Linked DNA regions of Anolis sagrei. The protein of the gene in region 1 interacts with the protein of each later gene in a pairwise test. Links are inferred from orthologs where the notes say so. Each region holds a gene or a part of one and is shown in the gene's direction. Other genes may lie near its edges.

Evidence for each region. The genes of interacting proteins can lie anywhere in the genome.
Region 2: the proteins of CINP (region 1) and ATRIP interact in binary tests that used the Homo sapiens proteins (3 or more experiments, as listed by UniProt). The link is inferred for Anolis sagrei from reciprocal best matches to the Homo sapiens genes CINP and ATRIP.
Region 3: the proteins of CINP (region 1) and CLUAP1 interact in binary tests that used the Homo sapiens proteins (3 or more experiments, as listed by UniProt). The two-hybrid records come from large-scale screens. The link is inferred for Anolis sagrei from reciprocal best matches to the Homo sapiens genes CINP and CLUAP1.

The regions. Positions count from the first base shown.
Region 1 is NC_090021.1:323,897,722-323,905,614, reverse strand, and holds the start of CINP (cyclin-dependent kinase 2-interacting protein), read left to right. Parts: upstream 1-4,821; 5' UTR 4,822-4,881; coding exon 4,882-4,888; intron 4,889-7,893. UniProt on the Homo sapiens protein: Component of the DNA replication complex, which interacts with two kinases, CDK2 and CDC7, thereby providing a functional and physical link between CDK2 and CDC7 during firing of the origins of replication.
Region 2 is NC_090022.1:67,075,601-67,082,544, forward strand, and holds the start of ATRIP (ATR-interacting protein), read left to right. Parts: upstream 1-3,933; 5' UTR 3,934-4,043; intron 4,044-6,031; 5' UTR 6,032-6,049; coding exon 6,050-6,467; intron 6,468-6,944. UniProt on the Homo sapiens protein: Required for checkpoint signaling after DNA damage. Required for ATR expression, possibly by stabilizing the protein.
Region 3 is NC_090034.1:26,673,416-26,680,584, reverse strand, and holds the start of CLUAP1 (clusterin-associated protein 1), read left to right. Parts: upstream 1-4,158; 5' UTR 4,159-4,280; coding exon 4,281-4,302; intron 4,303-7,169. UniProt on the Homo sapiens protein: Required for cilia biogenesis. Appears to function within the multiple intraflagellar transport complex B (IFT-B). Key regulator of hedgehog signaling.

The DNA.
Region 1 (7,893 bases):
TTCTGGTTTATAAAGCACAAATGTAACAGATGGACTAACATTTACCTGGTAAACATCTGGGATCACAATCGGGGAAGCATCACAACGAATGTCCTGCCTAATCTGTTTCAATGCCCTGTTCTCATGTGACAGACAACTTGCGTAACTAAGATTGCAACCACTAAAATTCATGATTAGAACACTTTTAAAGAGTTTTTACCCACTCACCCCCATTTAAGCAGCTTTGGCTTAAGCTGACGTAAAAAAAATATCAAACAGATTAGGTCAACCACTATGCATCTACTGCAATTAATTAATGGAGTTCCTTCATAACAACTGACAAGACAGCACAATTAAGTAATTTCAATGCAAGGATTACAAAATAATGTATGTGATGTACATTTACAATGTGAAAGTTTTAAATGAATATTAAGAATGATCATTATGTATATAGCTGGAATACTTATTTAAATGAGGACAGCGAGTTATGATTATTAAACTGTTAGGAAGCTTCCTTGTCCCTCTTCTTCAAAACAAACATATATAGAGTCACAATGACACTTACGAGCTAAATGTATGCGCTTTCTTCCCCAGAATGCATATTATTCATATGCCAGAGCGGAAGCACTCACTCAACTAGTCTTGTATCACAGCATTTTATGGCTATATGGAAATGGAGCCCCTGGTTTCGCAATGGGTTAAACCCTTGTGCCGGCAGGACTGAAGCCACACAGGTCGAAGGTTCAAATCCGGGGAGAGTGCGGATAAGCTTCCTCTGTTAGCTCCAGCTCCCCATTCAGGGACATGAGAGAACCCACCCACAAGGATGGTAAAAACATCAAATCATTTGGGAATCCCCTAGGCAATGTCCTTGCAGACAGCCAATTCTCTCACAGTTTCTCAAGTCGCTCCTGACACACAAAAAATGGCTATAAAGAAGCCAGAGGTTCATCCAATTTCCAACTTTAAAGCAGGATATATCTATCTGAAGGGGCTGTGGTGGTGCAGTGGGTTAAATCACTAAGCTGCAGAACTTGCTGTCTGGAAGGCGATTTGGATCTGTGGGACGGGGTGAGCTCTCGCTGTTAGCCCCAGCTTCTGCCAACCTAGCAGTTCAAAAACATGCAAATGTGACATCAATAGGTACCGCTACAGTGGGAAGGTAACGGCACTCCATGCAGTCATGCCGGCCACATGACCTAGAAGGCAACTATGAACAACGCCGGCTGTTCAGCTTAGGAATTGAGGTGAACATCACCACCTCAAAGTTAATGTTGACTTAATGTTGTGGGAAAACCTTTACCTTTTTATATCTGTCTAGCGGTACATTAGGAAATTGCAGATATTTCCTTCCCTAAAAGCAACAGGGGAGGACTTAAATGGAGAAGCACTCTCTAAAAGTCAACATTAACTATTGCCACTTTTACATGGTTATGCTCTTTAAAAAAAAAACAAAGGAGAGGCTCTCACTCTCAGATTCACCTGACTCAAAAAATGCATAAAATATTCATACCACATCAGGAGGTCTTCCAGAGTAGAACCGAATATGCATGTTGCAGAAGGAAGCACTAAACTACAGAAACCTATAAGGCAACTGATGTCTACAGCTAATAGGAGATGCCACCACAACTTCTGATTCCAAACTGGATTCCTATAGTCTCCATCAGCAATGCCTTTTATTTCTACTGAAGCAAAACATATATAGAGTACTCTTAAGTTGAGGAGGTGAGAGAACAAACCATAAATATCTCACATTCACACTTTCTACATATGGAAATCTGTGATTCTGACATTAAACGTGAATTCCCAACCAACTTGTACTGGTTGAGTATCCCTTATCCAGAAATTAAAATCAAAAATTGTCTACATGTGAGGCTGAGAAAGTGATCCTTGCTTTCTGATTGTTCAATGTACACACACATTTTACTTCATGCACAACATATGTAACAAAATCTAAAAATAAATCAGAAATCCAAGCACAAGGGATAAGTGATACTGAACCTTTATTTTCTGAGTGGTCCACAGAATGAAGAATTTACAAGCAATAATCAAAGAGGTAAGAAATAAACCCCAGGTTTAACTGAGGTTTGTTAGAAGCCCACCCCAAAATGTGTTCTCAATGTTGGTTGCCATGAAAAAAATAAGAAGCAATACATCAGAGCTTTCTTAAGTATGTACAGGGTTTTATTACTTTCTTTAAAAAACCCCTCTAGAAATCCCAAAGAGCTGTGGCTGTGGCTGCTGAACTGATTTGACTTTTCCTTTATTTGGGAAGCTGGAAATGGGGAGAAAAAGGAGAAACGACATGAAAGCTACCTTTCCCATGGTAATGCCACTATGTTGATGTCATCCAGTATGGTAATTCATAGTGTCACCCCTATGGAACCCTATCATACCGCACCGCAATATTGTAGCTTATTTATATATCGTGTCAGGAGCAACCAGACAATAGTAGCTAAACTACCAGAAATATTGTAGCTAAACTACCAGAAATATTAACAAAATCAGCAACTACAAAACACCAGCAACAATGAAAGCAACTGTGGTTGCTTCTGACATGTGAAGATGACGCCACCTGATTTGAAGGATGACTGTAATTGGGTAATAACAACAGCTCTAACTGGAGGACATTCACATTAGAAGCTTCAAAAGTAAACTACCATACTTTTAGCCATATGTTTATATTGATATAATATGTGTAAGCCGGGCTTACAATGTTTTTGGGTTATATCTCATTTTGTTGTTCTATGCCATCAAGTTGCTTCCAATTTATGGTGACACAATCAAAGCGGTTTCTGGGCAAGATTTGTTCAGAGGGTTGGCTTGCCTTCTTCTGATGCTGCATCTACATTAATTGCACAACAACTGTGTAATTACTGCCACTTTAAATGCCGTGGTTCAATGCTATGGAATTCTAGCAGTTGTCATTCTAATCCGTAAGGCCTTCTTTGCCAAAAAGTGCTGGTGCTTCACCACACCACAACTCCCAGGATTCCATAACTCTGAGACGCGACAGTTAAAATGGTATCAAACTGCATTGGTTCTACAGTGTAGATGCACCCTGAAAGAGTATGACTTGTCCAAGGTGGGCTTCCATGTCTAAGACTGTGTGATGTATCAGCGAATAATGCGTGAAGATCACAGTAGGGTGGCTTTTTGCAGCTGACAGATGGTAATTTGCTCAGCGCCAATTGTTTTTAAGTGCAGGCCAAGGTCTTTAGACACTGCACTCAGTGTGCTGATCACCACTGGGACCACTTTTATTAATGTGTCCCTTTGCAGTCTCTTCCAATTATCTCATTCTAGTCTATATAAATAAAAATGTAATGTTCGTTTGTGGGATTAACAGAACTCAAAAAACACTGGACGAATTGACACCAAATTTGGACACAAGACACATAACAACCCAATTGGGAGAAATAGACCTTGACATTTGGGAGTTGTAGTTACTGGGATTTATAGTTCACCTATAATCAAAGAGCATTCTGAACCCCACGAAAGACAGAATTGAGGCAAACTTCCCACACAGAACCCCTATAGCCAATAGAAAATACTTAAGGCCATCCAGTCCAACTCCTTTCACCAGGGCAAGAAAACGTAATCAAATACTGTTTACCCACAAGGATAAAGAAATTACATATATTAGAAACCAACACTTTCTCATTATAGAATCATAGAATCAAAGAGTTGGAAGAGACCTCATGGGCCATCCAGTCCAACCCCCTGCCAAGAAGCAGGAATATTGCATTCAAATCACCCCTGACAGATGACCATCCAGCCTCTGTTTAAAAGCTTCCAAAGAAGGAGCCTCCACCACACTCCGGGGCAGAGAGTTCCACTGCTGAACAGCTCTCAGTCAGGAAGTTCTTCCTCATGTTCAGATGGAATGTCCTTTCTTGTAGTTTGAAGCCATTGTTCCGCGTCCTAGTCTCCAGGGAAGGAGAAAACAAGCTTGCTCCCTCCTCCCGGTGGCTTCCTCTCACATATTTATACATGGCTATCATATCCACTCTCAGCCTTCTCTTCTTCAGGCTAAACATGCCCAGCTCCTTAAGCCGCTCCTCATAGGGCTTGTTCTCCAGACCCTTGATCATTTTAGTCGCCCTTTGCTGGAAAACTGTTTAGCCATGTCAGTGCTTCCCCTTCAGAAGGCTCCCATCCTTTTGAAAGTTCTGCCTCTGATAATAATCATAATATATTGTCGAAGACTTTCATGGCTGGAATCACTAGGTTCTTGTGGGTTTTTTTGGGCTATATGGCCATGTTCTAGAGGTGTTTTCTCCTGACGTTTTGCCTGCATCTATGACAAGCATCCTCAGAGGTGATGAGGTCTGTTGGAGTTAGGAAAATGGGTTTATATATCTGTGGAATGACTGGGGTGGGGCAAAGAGCTCTTCCCCAGTCATTCCACAGATATATATGAACCCATTTTCCTAACTCCAACAAACCTCACTACCTCTGAGGATGCTTGCCATAGATGCAGGCGAAACGTCAGGAGAAAATGCCTCTAGAACATGGCTATATAGCCCGGAAAAACCTACAACAACCCAATGATAATATACTTCAACTGCAAAGGCAGGAGGGAGTAGCAGAGCCTGCCCAAGTGGGAGCTGCCTTTACCTATCATCCCCAGCAACGCATTTCCATGGAGACCACAGGGGACTCCCCCAACCCAACCCAACCCACCTCCCCTTGCCCGCTCAACCGACGACTAGGCCGCAAGCGCTGCCCTCACTCACCCTCTCAGCTCAGTAGGGCTCGGCGGGGCCCCTCATGGCGGGAGGCTGAAGGGAGACCCAGCCAGGCCTTGGAGGCCCCCGGGAGAAGGAGGCGGAGGCTGGGGCGGAGCTTGAGGCGAGAGGCTGGGCCTCGCTCCCTCCTCCTCCTCCGGCAGCGGCGGGGATGGCCGGTAAGCGTGCCCGGGGATGAGAGACAAGGCCCAACGCTAGGCCGCAGCTGCACTGTGAGACTCACTGCATTAGTGTAGACTCACAATGCGCTGCATTATTAGTGTCAGCCAGGCCTGGTCCAACTTGGGCCCTCCAGGTGTTTTGGACTTCAACTCCCACAATTCCTAACAGCCGTAGGCTGTTAGGAATTGTGGGAGTTAAAGTCCAAAACACCTGGAGGGCCCAACTTGGACCAGGCCTAGTAATGCTATTCTTTGTATTGTCGAAAGCTTTCATCACTGGGTTGCTTTAAGTTTTCCAGGCTCTATGGAAGCCTGGAAGCATTCTCTCCTGACGTTTCGCCTGCATCTATGGCAGGCATCCTCAGAGGTTGTGAGGATGTTTGGGCTGAAAAATGCGGTATAGAAATAAAGCAAATAAAATAAATAAAATAAATAAATTGTGAGGTCTCTTGGAAACTAGGAAAAATGGGTTTATATATTTGTGAAATGTTCAAGGTGGAAGAAAGAACTCTTGTCCGTTTGAGGCAGGTGTGAATGTTGCAATTGGCCACCTTGATTAGCATTTAATAGCCTTGCAGTTTCAAGATCTGGCTGGTTGCTGCCTGGGGTGTATCCTGGCCAGGGGCGGCTCAACCCATTACGCAAAGTAAGCATTTGCAGTATAGTTGATTTTGCCCAGGGGCGCTCTTGAGGCACTCTTGGGGGAAAATAGACGTTGACATATGCGAGTTGTAGTTACTGGGATGTATAGTTCACCTGAGACATCTCCAGCTCATCCCCTGTTTGGGTATCAGCCAGCACGTCAACGACTTAATTCTAGAAATAGTTTTCTAAGATCTACAGAGACACTCGCCAGAACACCTCAGCAAGCAAGAGTCCAAAAGTGGCAGGCTCAAACCCAGAACCTCAGCCAATGGCTGATACCAAATGAGAAACTCCCCCCTGGGCACATAGAGGACTGGGCGACTTGGAAGGCGCTGAACAGACTGCGTTCTGGCACCACAAGATGCAGAGCCAACCTTCAGAAATGGGGCTACAAAGTGGAATCCTTGATATGCGAATGTGGAGAGGAGCAAACCACTGACCACCTGCTGCAATGCAACCTGAGCCCAGCCACATGCACAAGGGAGGACCTCCTTGCAGCAACACCAGAAGCACTCCAAGTGGCTAGATACTGGTCAAAGGACATTTAATCAACTACCAAATTCACAAATGTTGTATTTTGTCTGTTTGTTTGCTTTGTTCTGTTAGAAATGTAATATAATTGACTGGTTGCCCTGACACGACAAATAAATAAATAAAATAGTTCACCTACAATCAAAGAGCATTCTGAACTCCACCAATGATGGAACTGAATCACAGAACTCCCATGACGAACAGAAAATATATATCAGTGATTGGTTGGGGAGGGGGCAAAATACTGTTTGCTTACCTTTGAAAATTACCTAGGGCCGCCTCTAATCCTGGCTACCAGTATTAAAAAAAACCTCTAAATTTATTTATTTATTTAGAGCTTTTATAACCCGGTCTTCTCAACCTCCGAAGAGGGACTCAGGCCGGCTAACAACAGAAAATTCATACAGAAATAAGCTAAAACATAATAACATCATAATACATTAAAATACATTACAGTACAGATCAAATAATGACATGCAGCCAAATCGTCAAGGTAAAATCACAAATTCATCACCATCATTATCAAAATTACAACAGCAAAACAACAGAGGGAAAACAATCAGGGACATCTAATCACCATTCAACAAAAGATTGCCCCAGGCACTGCCAGGCCATCCAATGCTAATCAAAGTAGTCATTTGAAACAGTCACACCTAGCTCCAGCAAACAAGAGTTCTTTGTCCCACCCTGGTCATTCCACAGATATATAAACCCATTCTCCTAACTCCAACAGACCTCACTACCTCTGAGGATGCCTGCCATAGATGCAAGTGAAACGTCAGGAGATAATGCCTCTAGAACATGGCCATATAGCCCAAAAAAACCTACACAACCCAGTGATTCCGACCATTAAAGCCTTCGACAATACGGTGTATTCTTTATTGGGAGGTTATTAGCTGGCCCTGATTGTTTCTTGTCTGGAATTCCCATTTTTCAGTGTTCTTTATTTAATGTCCTGATTTTAGAGGTTTTTTTAAAAAAATACTGGTAGCAGATTTTGTTTATTTTCATGGTTTCCTCCTTTCTGTTGTAATTGTCTATGTGAGGGGACTCAGGACAGCATACAAGATAAAAATAATATACATAGTATCAATCACACTTACAATCTTAAAGTTAAAATCAAGGCAAACAGATCAAAAGGACAAATCTGTTGTAACTTGGTATCAAATAATTGCCTTGTTTATTTAATTTCTGAAAAACTTCTGCATGAGATACATTTTTGGTGCACTTGATGTCTGCAACCTTGACTTTTGCCCTGGGAAAAAAGTACAAAATAAACAAAGTACAAAAAAAGAGAAGAAAAGTCCTGGTAGAAGAGTTTACAAAATAAGCAAGCAAATGTTCTGTAGATCATGGCTTCTTTAAAACTGTGGGTCCCAATGAAAATCGCCGTAAGCTGAAAATGGGGGTCGCAATAAATTTAGTAATCTGGTGGCTGTTTTAGGAACTTACTCAAATCTGTTAGCAACAGTGTGCAGTGTTTACGGTGGATTCGGCAAAATATGCTTTGACTGTATTTTGTAAAAAGGAAAATCACCTAAATACAAGCCCTGCAAATGCCAATTTGTTATCAGTAAATGTTTGACTTTTTATTATTTCATATATCGATACACCCGGGTGGAACGAGGTTACGAGTGGAAAAGGTTTAAGAAGCCCTGGTGTAAATCAATAGAAGATCCAGCAGTAATATTTTCAAGTATCTTTTTACAGTCAGAACTTGTACCAAATATATCTGGGCCAAGCCACTTTTTAGCTCTCATTTAAAAAAAACCACAAAATGAACACCATTATTTAGTAAAATAGTTAAAATGTAGGTGAGTTGGAAA
Region 2 (6,944 bases), on another chromosome or scaffold:
GCCACTCTCTGATGTAAAGGATTAATTTTTACTCAGGAGCAGTTTTCTGCACAAAAAACAGGCAGCAAGAGAAAGACAAGAAAGTGAAGATATATACATAGAAACCTATAAGGTCTTTTAGATCTTGATTAAAATTGCATGAGCAATAACAGAGGAGAAAGGCAAGATCTACATAATGGTGTCTATAACAGGTTAGATGAAGTATGACCTTGGGATACAGCTTGTAAGTGTGGATATAAGAGTGGATGCACCTTTTAAGGTTGTTTTTTAGCTGTTTAGCCCTCCAGACTTCTTGTACCATCCTTGAAAAAGAATTGCAGTTCAGCTTTTAAATACTGTAGATTGCACGAAGCCCGATGCAGTTGTGCATTAAAAGTTAAATTAAAACATTAAAAAGGTTTACAGGTATCCCCTACCATAAGCATGTATGCCCATGCGGTATGGAGAGAGTAGAAACTACCAGGCATGCCCTTTTAGAATGTCACATCTATTAGGATACTTTATCTGTTTTTATTACTCCCATTGTATAAAAGATCCCTGGCAGAAATGAACTTGTGTGATTTTAAATGAATGTCTTAATAATTAATGTTTTAATGAACTGTTTTATTTGTAATTATTATTTATCATTTGTATGTTGGCATCAAATAGATGCCTGTTGGGAAGTTGCACTGAATCCTCCCCCCCCCCCCGGGGGGGGGGCACGAGAAGGACAAGATACAAATATGTGAAATAAAAAAAATAAATATTATCTAAAACTTCTTATAGTGATCCATTGATCATTTATAGAGTGGCTATGTTTTGTGTGTCAGCTATAAAAATAAGGAAGCAGTTTGTGGACGATTTTGGCAGGTAAAGTTTTAACTTACTCGTTTTATTATCCACTAGCCATCCCCTGCCATGCCTTGCTGTGGCCCAGTCTAGTGATCTAAAAAATAAAGTCATGAGAAAGTGTTGGTTTCTAATATGTGTAATTTCTTTATGCTTGTGTGTAAACAGTATTTGATTATGTTTTCTTGCCCTGGTGAAGGGAGTTGGACTGGATTGCCTTAAGTATATTCTATTGGTCATAGGGGTTCTGTGTGGGAAATTTGCCCCAGTTCTATCGTTCGTGGGGTTCAGAAAGCTCTTTGATTGTAGGTGAACTATAAATCTCAGTAAATACAACTCCCAAATGTCAAGATCTATTTCCCCCAAACTCCATCTGTGTTCATATTGGGGCATATGGAATATTCATGCCAAGTTTGGTCCAGAACCATCATTGTTTGAGTCCACAGTGCTCTCTGGATGTAGGTGAACTACAACTCCAAAACTCAAGGCCAATGCTCAACAACTCCTTCCAGTATTTTCTGGTGGTCATGGGAGTTCTGTGTGCCAAGGTTGGTCCAATTCCATCTTTGGTGCTCAGAATGCTCTTTGATTGTAGGTGAACTATAAATCCCAGCAACTACAACTCCTGAATGACAAACTCAAATTTTTGAGTGATGATCACGCCTTGGGTTAGTAGGTGTCTTGTGTCCAAATTTGGTGTCAATTTGTCAAGTGGTTTTTGAGTTATGTTAATCCCACAAACGAACATTACATTTTTATTTATATAGATACTCAGTGTCATATATGAAGCCAAGCACACGATCGACTCCATATCATGGACATTCTTCTTTTAATGTTGTGAACTTCGGGTCTTAATGTTAACAGTTTTTTTTTTTAAAAAAAACTTCTTGTTTTTAATGTTTTAAAGTTTTACACTCTTGGTCTGTAATAAAATTCATTCATTAATCCTTAAAAAGGAATTGGAGTTTACCTTTTAAATACTGTATATTGCAGGAAGCCCAATACAGTTGCGCTTTCAAAACTAGAAATATATTTGTGATAATTTCCATGATTGGGGAGTTTGGCTTTGACAGCCCATGTGGCTCATAGAAGGTCACAGGGGTAGAAAATACTTGTCCTGCTTGGATAGCTTCACATATAAATGAACCTCAAGGTGTTGTTGGCTTATGGAATACAGTATCCTCAGAGATCCTGGAATTGTAAATGTAGAACTACCAGAGGGCATGGTAATACTTTTGCAACCTCTGTCCTAAATATTGTCGACATAAGGTGTAAAGATGTTTGAACCACATAGCTCAATTTCTGTTGAAGAAGCCATTAGAAAAGGTCCTCTAGATGTTATTGACCTGCATTGCCAAAAATGAAGAATGATGTAGTCCAGCGAAAACTAGCAGGCCTATCCTTGTTCTCCTGTACTGCCACCCCAATCTTATAACAGCCAGAGGGAATAATATAATGCACAACTCAGCTAGATAACTTATCTAAAGAGGCAAGACTGACTGCTGCTCCATGTTTGGTCATTAAGTTAGGCACCTTACAACACCAAGTAGAAGAATACGCTGCCATGCCTCCCCGTATCTTCTGACCCAAAGTTGCAATCCTCTTATCTTTGTAAAACCACAAAGGGTAATTTCCAGATAAACATTGTGAAACACATATTAAGAATCTCTATGTTGGAGTGGTTGAAGAGTAAGTAACTCTGCAGTACTTGGAACATGGTTCAGAAATAAGTCCCAATGTGTTCAATATTCCTAAAGAAGTGGTCAGAAGATTACACTCTTTGTGCATTTCAGTTGGCCAAGCTGGTTGGGGTTTCTGGGAGCTGAAATCCACAAACCTGTAGGACAAAAGGTTGGGAGGTTATGCACATTTATGCAAAAGCAGATGTTTTCCAGAAGGGACCACATAACTGATTTTGTTCTTATGCATTTGTGGCTGTGACTTAGACAAAACAAAACAAACGTCTTTCAGTACATATTAATACAGAAAAAACGAATGACATTATACTTATGATACTAATCTACACCAGGCATGGGCCAACTTCGGCCCTCCGGGTGTTTTGGACTTCAACTCCCATCATTACTAACATCCTCAGGCCCTTTCCTTTTCCCCCTCAGCCACTTGTGAAAAATACAACTCCCATCTTATTTATGTATTGTGTCAGGAGCAAACCAAACAGTTGTATTGGATTTTTTAAAAAAATCACAAAGTTTGCCAACTTGGCATTCTATTAAATGTCCTTTGATCACTTGGAGTGCCTCTGGTGTTGCTATCAGAAGGTCCTCCATTGTGCATGTGGCAGGGCTTAGGTTGCATTGCAGTAGGTGGTCTGTGGTTTGCTCTTCACACCCGCATGCCATGGATTCCACTTTGTGGCCCCATTTCTTAAGGTTGGCTCTGCATCCTATGGTGCCAGAGCGCAGTCTGTTCAGCGCCTTCCAAATCGCCCAGTCTACTGTGTGCCCAGGGGGGAGTCTCTCATTTGACATCAGCCATGGATTGAGGTTCTGGACTCAACTCCCATGATTTCATAACATTGAACCAAGGCATTTAAAGTGGCTGCCAAACTAGATTGACTTGACTTAGGCGATCCCTCGTTGGACGAGTAAGATGATTTTCTATGATGGGTTTCCTTGTGGATTCGTAGGTGGCTGTGGAGCCCTATTCTTGACCCGCATCTTCTCCCACAGTGAAGGCATTGGTTTCCAGGTGGAAGATGGTCCCAGTCGTGGTTGGCTTGACGCGCCTTCCTCCTGGCACGTTTCACTCTTTCACCCTCCACTTGTGCCTCCTCCAATTCTGCAGCACTGCTGGTCACAGCTGACCTCCAGCTGGAGCGCTCAAGGGCCAGGGCTTCCCAGTTCTCAGTGTCTATGCCAAACTAGATTATTTCTATAGTGTGGGTGGGAAGAGGCGAGATTAAAAAACACATCCACCTGCCCCCCTACCCCCTCACACTTTGTGCTTGCAAGGATCCTTGGCGTTTAGTCACGAATCCTAAAGACAGGGAAAAGAAATCCCTCCCGTCCAATGGGTGAGCTCCTTCCATTTCGCGCGTCACCTTTTCTTTGCACGTCCCTCCCCCAATAGACCGGATGGGACGTCATTGGGAGAGAGCTGGCTTCCTATTGGTTGACAGAGACCGGGGAAGCGATGCCGGGCAGATGCTGCTGCCCTTCTTGCAGAGCCTCCTCTCCTGACGCGGGAAAACCAAGGTAAGTCCAGAGAGAGTGCAGGGAGGTCGTGGGGGAGCATCTGCACCCTAGAATGAGTGCGACTTGGCACCGTTTGAGCTGCTATTACTCACACCTATGGAATCATGGGAGTTGTAGACCTTGTGGAGCTACAATTCCCATGATCCCATAGCACGGAGACACAGCAGTTAGAAGTGGTGCCAAACTGGATTAATTCTAAAGTGTGTATCCATTGTGACGATTTGGATATCAGTCTGTTTTAAAGAGGTTTGTAGTGGTGATACTTCTGCTAAACTTCCAGAAATGTCATTCTTCTTGTGGGTTATCCAGATTGTTACTAAATATCACTAAAGTCAGATCTTGATTTACAGGCATGATATTCTCCTTGTTCCTGCGGCTTGTCCAAATCATTAGACCAGTGGTTCTCAACCTTCCTAATGCCGCGACCCCTTAATACAATTCCTCATGTTGTGGTGACCCCCAACCACAAAATTATTTTTGTTGCTACTTCATAACTGTAATTTTGCTAGTGTTTTGAATCGTAATGTACATATCTGATATTCAGGATGTATTTTCATTCACTGGACCAAATTTGGCACAAATATGGCCAAATTTGAATACTGGTGAGGTAGGGGGCAGGATTGATTTTGTCATTTGGGAATTTTAGTTCCTGGGATTTATAGTTAATCTACAATCAGAGAGCATTCTGAACTCCACCAGCGAGAGTATTGGGCCAAACTTCCCACACAGAACCCCCACGACCAAGAGAAAATACTGGAAGGGTTTGATGGGCATTGACCTTGAGTTTTGGAGTTGTAGTTCAAAAGTGCAAAAGCTGGATTGCAGTTAAACATAAATTCAACCAGAATTATGGCAACCAGACAGATTGATAACTGGCAAATAGAGGGAGAAAACGTGGAGGCTGTGACAGACTTTGTATTTCAAGGTGCAAAGATTACTGCAGAAATCAGAAGACGTTTACTTCTTGGGAGGAGAGCAATGACCAATCTTGATAAAATAGTGAAGAGTAGAGACATCACACTGGCAATGAAGATCCACATACTTAAAACAATGGTATTCCCTGTAGTCACCTACGGATGTGAGAGCTGGGCCATAGGTAAGGCTGAGCAAAGGAAGATAGATGCTTTTGAACTGTGGCGCTGGAGGAAAATTCAGAGAGTGCCTTGGACCACAAGAATATCCAACCAGTCCATATTTCAGGAAACAAAGCCCGACTGCTCATTGGAAGGAAGGATATTAGAGACAAAGTTGAAGTACTTTGGCCACATCATGAGAAGAAAGGAAATCTTAGAGAAGACAATGATGCTGGAGAAAATGGAAGGCAAAAGGAAGAGGGGCCGACCAAGGGCAAGATGGATGGATGGCATCCTTGAAGTGACTGGCTTGACCTTGAAGGAGCTGGGGGTGGTAACGGCCGACAGGGAGCTCTGGCGTGGGCTGGTGCATGAGTCGGAAGCGACTGAACGAATGAACAACAAGTTCACCTGCATCCAGAGAGCACTGTGGACTCAAACAATGATGGACCTGGACCAGTCTTGGGACGAATACTCAATATGCCCAAATGGTGGAGTTTGGGGAAAATAGACCTTGACATTTGGGAGTTGTAGTTGCTGGGCTTTATAGCTCATCTACAATGAAAGAGATTCTGAATCCCACCAACGAGAGAATTGGGCCAAACTTCCCACAGAGAACTCCCATGACGAACAGAAAATACTGTGTTTTCTTATGGTCTTTGGTGACCCCTCTGACACCCCCTGGTGACCCTCCAGTGTTCCCAACCCCTAGGTTGAGAAACGCTGCATTAGACCTTCCAGTAGGTTTGTTTAGGTCCCACTCATGAGCATTTGTGAGCAAGGCCTGATCATTTCCTTGAAAAGGTGATTACTGTTGGCTTTAATAACACATTGAAAAGTACTGAGGAAATAGAGGTCCCAGAACTGATTTTAAATAGGCAGCTTTAACCTTGTTTTGTGGTTTCTTTTTGCTAGGATAATTCCTGACACAGAATGTCAGTGAACCATTTATTTGGGAATAAGAAGAGAAACAGCTCTATATTATACGGTGTGGATCAGGCCAGAGTGACTGCTTCGACTTCATCCTTCCAGAGAACTGCAAGTAACACTGGAAACCATGGAGATGGATTTCCACCCAATAAGCGCTATAAAACCCTTGCCACAACTGGGCATAAAGAAATGGAAGATCCATTTCAGGACAGTGATGATTTCACTGCAGATGACTTGGAGGAAATTGATATTATTGCTTCCCAGGCAATGACACAAAACGTTTCTGTAAACACAAATGCATCAAGAGCAGAGCAAAATAGAGAACTGTCTTCACTGTCAAAAAGTACCACCAATGCAGCAGATCACATCAAGCAATGGAATTTCAACTTTGCAACTGAGACAAAATCTAAGCAAGTATTTGGTATGTGTATTCTCAGTGAGACTGGAGTCTGGAGCAATGAGGATTGATGATTTACACTGTTATTACTGTTTTTCTTTAAAAGATAGTAAACCTGTTGAGGTTGCCTTTTGGGCACAAACCCCTCTTTAGGCAGTGCGGATGCTAAAATAAAGCACTAGGGTTAATAAAAGCCCGTGACAACCATAAATTAGACATTACACCTGACAAAATGCTAAAATGAAATACAATTGTTATAAAAGAAATAGCACATAACAAGATAAGGCCAAGGAATACAAATGGTTCCTGAGAATTTTCTTGGAGATCATGAGTGATGGGGCTTAACATCATTAGTTGTTTTGCTGTTTGGTGTTTTCCAATGGTTTCCAACTTATAGGAGGCCCTATAATATGGTTTTCTTGGCAAAGTTTTTGTCAGAGTATGTCTGCTATTGCCTTCCTCTTAGGCTGAAATGAATACGACTTCACCAATATTATCCAT
Region 3 (7,169 bases), on another chromosome or scaffold:
TCCCAAGGTCCTATGATATTAGAAACATTATTATAATGATGAGGAGATATTAGAAATATAGATATTTATTGATTTATGCATAAAATCATATGTACTTTATAAGCACTGAAATGCATAGAAAAATCTAGTTCCCTCTGTGTATAGAAAGAATGCTAACGGACAAGCAAACTGCTTGTCTTCAGAAGGGGCTGAAGAGGGAGGGGTGACATTCCAGAGAAGAGAGATAAGCCTGTCCGAGAAGCCCATACTAAGGAGCAACGGGCTGGTACTAAGGAGCACCTCTTGACAGGTCAGAGAGGGCCCCTTTGATGGATGAGTGTAAGATGCTTGCTCTGCAGCAAGACATGCCTTTTTGCATGTGGAAGTTAGAACCTGATATTCTTATGATGCTCAGATGACGTAGGGATGATGATGATTGTATGTTGTAGCATGTTCTTTGTTTGCTTGAACCTGGAAAACTATAAAAGCCACAGTCCACACCTATTTCAGTTGCTCTGGTGTTTTTTGGGAGTTGACTCCACACCAGGCCCCAGCTGGTAAATAAAATCCATGCTTTCAAACCTCCGGACCTCTCTTTGTCTCTTTTCCTCAAAACCTATTCCTTGCCATTTCAATAATATAATATATTATTATATATTATATTAATTATTATATATATTTATTATTGCATTGTATATTATTATATTATATATTATTAAATTTATATGTACATAGCAACACAGCACACAAGTGAAATTGAGCAATTTAAGACAACCGCAGATAGTAAGATCAGGGCCTTGGATAGCAAAACCTGAAGGGTGGATACCGAGATCCAATAAGCGAATGCTGGTATTGGCAGCAGGCCACCCGTGGATCTGTGTGCCTGGTGAGACATAGAAGCTACCCAGTGTTCCCAAATAAATCTCACCAAGTTGAAGAAGCCGCCACCGAGGTAATTTATTAAAATCAGATGAAGTGATGCCAGCTTGCGGTAATCCACCTAGGCTCTGTCGACGTCATGAACAGCTGAAGGAGGATTCCCTGCAGAGGCGGGTTTGTAGCCAATAGGATTTTGTTCCCTGCTTCATATATATATATATTGTCGTGTCAGGAGTGACTTGAGAAACTACAAGTCGCTTCTGGTGTGAGAGAACTGGCTGTCTGCAAGGACGTTGCCCAGGGGATGCCTGGATGTTTTGATCCTTTATCATCCTAGTGGGAGGCTTCTCTTGTGTCCCCACATGAGGAGTTGGAGCTGATAGAGGGAGCTCATCCGCACTCTCCCCAGATTTGAACCTATGACCTGTCGGTCTTCAGTCCTGCTGGCACAGGGGTTTAACCCACTGTGCCACCGGGGGCTCCATTTATTTAGATAATTTCTATCCCGTCCTTCTCATCTCCAAGGAGAGATTCAGGCTGCTAACAGGCACCCTTCGGTGCCAAACAATACACAACATAAAATACATTTAATCGCCAATAAAAACAGTTATAAATACATAAAAAACATGTTGCCATTTCATATCATCCTCCGAATAATCCACAGCCATTCGTTCAATAGTCAATTAAAATCATCTTCAGTCCATTGCCATCCGCAAAACCAGTCCATTAAAACCCTCTATCTAGGGAATGCTTGATCCCATAACCAGGTTTTTTAGCTTTTTCCGGAAGGCCATGAGGGAGGGGGCAGATCTAATCTCATTCGGGAGGGAGTTCCACAGCCAAGGAGCCACCACTGAGAAGGCCCTGTCTCTCGTTCCCACCAACCGTGATTGAGATGGTGGTGGGACTGAGAGCATGGTCTCTCCAGACGATCTTAAGGTCCTTGGGGGTTCGTAGAGAGAGATACATTTGGACAGGTAAGCTGGACCAGAGCCGTTTAGGGTTTTATAGGTCAAGGCCAGCACTGTGAATTGTGCTCAGAATCTAATAGGCAGCCAGTGGAGCTGGCTTAACAGGGGAGTTGTACATTCCCTGTACCCTGCTCCTGTGAGCAGCCTGCCTGCCGAGCATTGGACTAGCTTAAGCTTCCGAGTAGTCTTCAGATTCCCGCTCTCCAATGGCTGATGGGGGGCAGGGTTGTCTGGGAGACAAAGGAAGTGTGAAGAGGTCTTAATGGGACAAACAAAGGGGGTCATCAGGTCCCATGTGTTTTATTATAAAGATAATTGTGATATGAGTCCCCAGCGAATAAGTCCAGCACCTTTGGCCCTGCTGTCCATTGAGTCAAAAGCATAGATATTGTCCATGTTGACAGGATTAAGCAGTTTGTTCCTGGGAAAGGGGAAATGTTATTGTTATTGTATATGCTGGTCTTGGCCTATAAAACCCTATACGACTCCGGCCCAGCTTACTTGTCCGAACGTATCTCCTTCGACGTTCCACCTTGTAGTTCAAGATCAACCGGCGAAGCCCTGCTCTTGGTCCCACCAGCTTCACAAATGCGTCTGGTGGGGACGAGGGACAGGGCCTTCTCAGTAGTGACCCCCCACTTGTGGAATTCACTCCCCAGCAAAACCAGTTTGGCTTCTTCCCTCCTTTCCTTTAGGAAAAAACTGAAATCATGGTTTTGGAACCAGGCCTTTGTCCAGCAGGCATGATAGCACTTTGGACATCGAACTGGACTATATGACTGTGATAATAATGGAAATGACTATATGACTGTGATAATAATATTTAATTGTTTTTAATCTATTGTTCTATTTATTGTTTTATATTGCTGTAATTTGTTATATTTGCGGCATCAAATTGTTGCCAGTGTAAGCCGCTCTGAGTCCCCAGGGGTTGAGAAGAGCCGGGTAGAAATGTTGCAAATAAATAAATAAATAAATAAATAAATTGTTGGACAGTGGAGCATGACCTCCCTGTGTACAGATAGTCATGCCAGGTGATGGGTGGCATTGTACTGTCCCAGTGACTGAGGCAAAGGACGGGTGGCCCTGCAAATGCCAAGAAGCAGGAATATTGCATTCAAATCACCCCTGACAGATGGCCATCCAGCCTCTGTTTAAAAGCTTCCAAAGAAGGAGCCTCCACCACACTCCGGGGCAGAGAGTTCCACTGCTGAATGGCTCTCAGAGTCAGGAAGTTTTTCCTCATGTTCAGATGGAATCTCCTCTCTTGTAGTTTGAAGCCATTGTTCCGCGTTCTAGTCTCCAGGGAAGCAGAAAACAAGCTTGCTCCCTCCTCCCTGTGGCTTCCTCTCACATATTTATACATGGCTATCATATCCCCTCTCAGCCTTCTCTTCTTCAGGCTAAACATGCCCAGCTCCTTAAGCCGCTGCTCATAGGGCTTCTTCTCCAGACCCTTTATCATTTTAGTTGCTCTCCTCTGGACACATTCCAGCTTGTCAATATCTCTCTTGAATTGTGGTGCCCAGAATTGGACACAATATTCCAGGTGTGGTCTAACCAAAGCAGAATAGAGGGGTAGCATTACTTCCCTAGATCTAGACACTATGCTCCTATTGATGCGGGCCAAAATCCCATTGGCTTTTTTTGCCGCCACATCACATTGTTGGCTCATGTTTAACTTCCTGTCCACGAGGACTCCAAGATCTTTTTCACACGTACTGCTCTCGAGCCAGGCATTGTCCCCCATTCTGTATCTTTGCATTTCGTTTTTCCTGCCAAAATGGAGTATCTTGCATTTGTCACTGTTGAACTTCATTTTGTGAGTTTTGGCCCATCTCTAATCTGTCAAGATCCCTTTGAATCCTGCTCCTGTCCTCCGGAGTATTGGCTCTCCCTCCCAATTTGGTGTCGTCTGCAAACTTGATGATCCTGCCTTCTAGCCCTTCATCTAAGTCATTAATAAAGATGTTGAACAGGACCGGGCCCAGGATGGAACCCTGCTTATGGCACTCCGCTTGTCACTTCTTTCCAGGATGAAGAGGAAGCATTGGGGAGAATCACCCTCTGGGTTCGTCCATTTAACCAATTACAGATTACAATATACAGATAATATATTATTATCACTGTATTATATATCCATTATTATCATTATATTTAAATGTACATAACAACCCATTTTAAACACTGGCCTTTTTATCCCTTTTAACACCAGGCAGGCCTTTCCTTTCCAGTCTTGGGTTTGTCCAGCCTGTGTTAAAAATGTCCTTGCTTTCAGGCCCTGGCATTGCAAAGCACCGCTTTCCGCCGAAGTTTGAGCCCGGCGCCTCGCCGTTGCGACGTTGCCATAGCGACGCGGCCTAGTCCTGGAAAGCGACGCGGGGAAGCCTGGCCGAGGGAGAGAGAGAAACGAACAGACACAGAGACCCAGTTGGCGCCCTTACAGGGACCATGTCTTTCCGCGACCTCCGCAGTGAGTCCCATGGCATCATCATCATCGTTGTTATTATTATTATTGTTATTGTTATTATTGTTATTATTCCTCGCTGGAGGGTATAAAAAGGAAATCTAGAGGCCCCGAGGCCTGAGAATGGGGAAGGAGGCCCGCCCCGGATCTGCTTCACTGCCTGTTTTATCTAACTTGTCTCTTTCCCCGCATTTTCGAATCCTCTATCTAGATAGATAGATAGATAGATAGATTATCTTCTATATAAATAAAAATGTAATGTTCGTTTGTGGGATTAACAGAACTCAAAAACCACTGACACCAATTTTGGACACAAGACACCTAACAACACAATGTATGTCCTTCACTAAAAAAATTGATTTTGTCATTTGGGAGTTTTAGTTGCTGGGATTTATAGTTCACCTACAATCACAGAGCCTTCTGAACCCCACTAACGATGGAATTGAACCAAACTTGGCACACAATTCTCCCATGACCAACAGAAAATACTGGTGGGCAGTGTCCTTTGGTTTTGGAGTTGTAGTTCACCTACATCCAGAGAGCACTGTGGACTCAAACAATGATGGATCTGGAACAAACTACACAAATACTCAATATGTCCAAATGTGAACACTGGTGGAGTTTGGGGAAGATAGACATTGACATTTGGGAGTTGTAGTTCCTGGGATTTATAGTTCACCTACAATCACAGAGCATTCTGAACCCAACCAATGATAGAATTGGGCCAAACCTCCCACACAGAACCCCCATGTGGGCCACAGCAACGCGTGGCAGGGGACGGCTAGTATATATATATATATATAGAGAGAGAGAGAGAGAGAGAAATATATATATGTGTGTGTGTGTGTGTGTGTAATCTATCTATATAAATATCTATGTAGGTATAGGTAATCTATCGATATCTATGTAATCTGTCTATGTAATCTATCTATCTATATGTAATCTATATATAGTTTATCTATGTAATCTATCTATGTAATCGATCTTTGTAGGAGGTAGATTACATAGATAGATAGATGATAGAGGTAAATAGATAGATTACACATTTATTTATTTTGCATATTTGTATCCTGCCCTTCTTGCCCCTGGAGGGGGACGCAGGTTGGCTTCACAACCAATGCTAACAACAGTTATAAATGATAAAAGTAACTAAAACAATTAGTTAATGCTTTAAAATTACTAAAACATTGTTTAAATTACACAGGTTTGAAATCATAGTCCAGGTCAGTCCATTGTCATTCACACAAATTGGGCCTCATTCTAAATTGCTTCCTCTACTGTTTGAACGCTTGGTCCCATAACCAGGTTTTGAGTTTCATTTTAAACTACAAGAGGGAGGGGGGCAATCTAATGTCACTGGGTAGAGAATTCCACAGGTGAGGGGCCACCATTGAGATATACCACAGATAGATTACATATATATAAATAGTTAGATCTATGTAATCTATCTTTGTGTGGAGCCCCCAGTGGCACAATGGGTTAAATCCTTGTGTCGGCAGGACTGCTGACCGACAGGTTGGCAGTTCGAATCTGGGGAATGGGGTGAGCTCCCATCTCAGTTCCAGCTCCCCATGTTTAGACATGAGAGATGCCTCCCACAAGGATGATAAAGCATCAAAACATCCGAGAGTCCCCTAGGCAATGTCCTTGCCAACGGCCAATTCCCTCACACTAGAAGCAACTTGCAGTTTCTCAAGTTGCCCCTGACATGAAAAAAAAATCTATCATAGTAATCTGTCTCTATCCATCCATCCATCAATCTATCTATCTATCTATCTATCTATGTAATGTATCTATTTATCTATATCTATCTATGTCCATGGTTCTCAACCTGTGGGTCCCCAGATGTTTTGGCCTTCAACTCCCAGAAATCCTAACAGCTGGTAAACTGGCTGGGATTTTTGGGAGTTGTAGGTCAAAACACCTGGGGATCCACAGGTTGAGAACCACTGACTATGTAATCTATCTGTCTGTCTGTCTGTCTGTCTAATCTATATAACCATAGAATTGGAAGAGACTTTGTGGGCTATCTAGTCCAGTACATGGATGTATAGATATCTGTCTGTCTGTCCATCTGTCTTTGTCAATGGTTCCCAACCAGTGGTCCACAAGAACTAAAATATGATCCGCAAAACATTTAAAATTTTAAACCTTTATTCATTTTAATGAATTTGTTGCTAGGTGGGCAACGTCAGCGAGTAGGACATCAGGCCAGTCAGGAGTCTGGGGTGGAGGGCAAGTGATCGTTCAGTCAGTCGTACACATTCTTTTGTCTTGCTCGACTATGTCAGTGATTCTGTTTTGCTGTTTAGTGATTCAACGGCTCCAGTAGTTTTACTGACTGTGAACCCTCAATATTCATATTAATTTTTTACTTATTTAATGGTGACTGAAATGGAGAGGCTTAAGAAGAAATCAAGGAAGAGCTCATTGAATTTCAAAATGATAGAAACTGCAAGGACGTGTTTGAATCTGATTCTCTTGAGGAGTTTTGGTGCAAAAAAGTGATTTTTTTATTCTAAAATTCAAGGAATTGCCTTGCACTATCTTATGCTCTTCTCCACAACTTTATGCAAACAAGGGTTTTCTGCTTTGCTGGTAATTAAAAACAAGTCCAGGAATCGATTGAAAGTAAATAATGATGTGGTTGTAGTTTTGAGCAATAATATTAGCCCCAGGAGTACCCTATTTGTAAGGAAGGTGCAAGCTCAAAAATCACATTGATGCAAACTAAATTTAATTTTCTATTTAAAATGTTCTTTTTTAAAATATTGTAATAGTACTCTTATTTCATGTTACTATTAAGTTTAATGAATATGTTAAAAGTTTTGATTAAAATTTATTTTTAGATTACACAGTTTTATTTATTATTC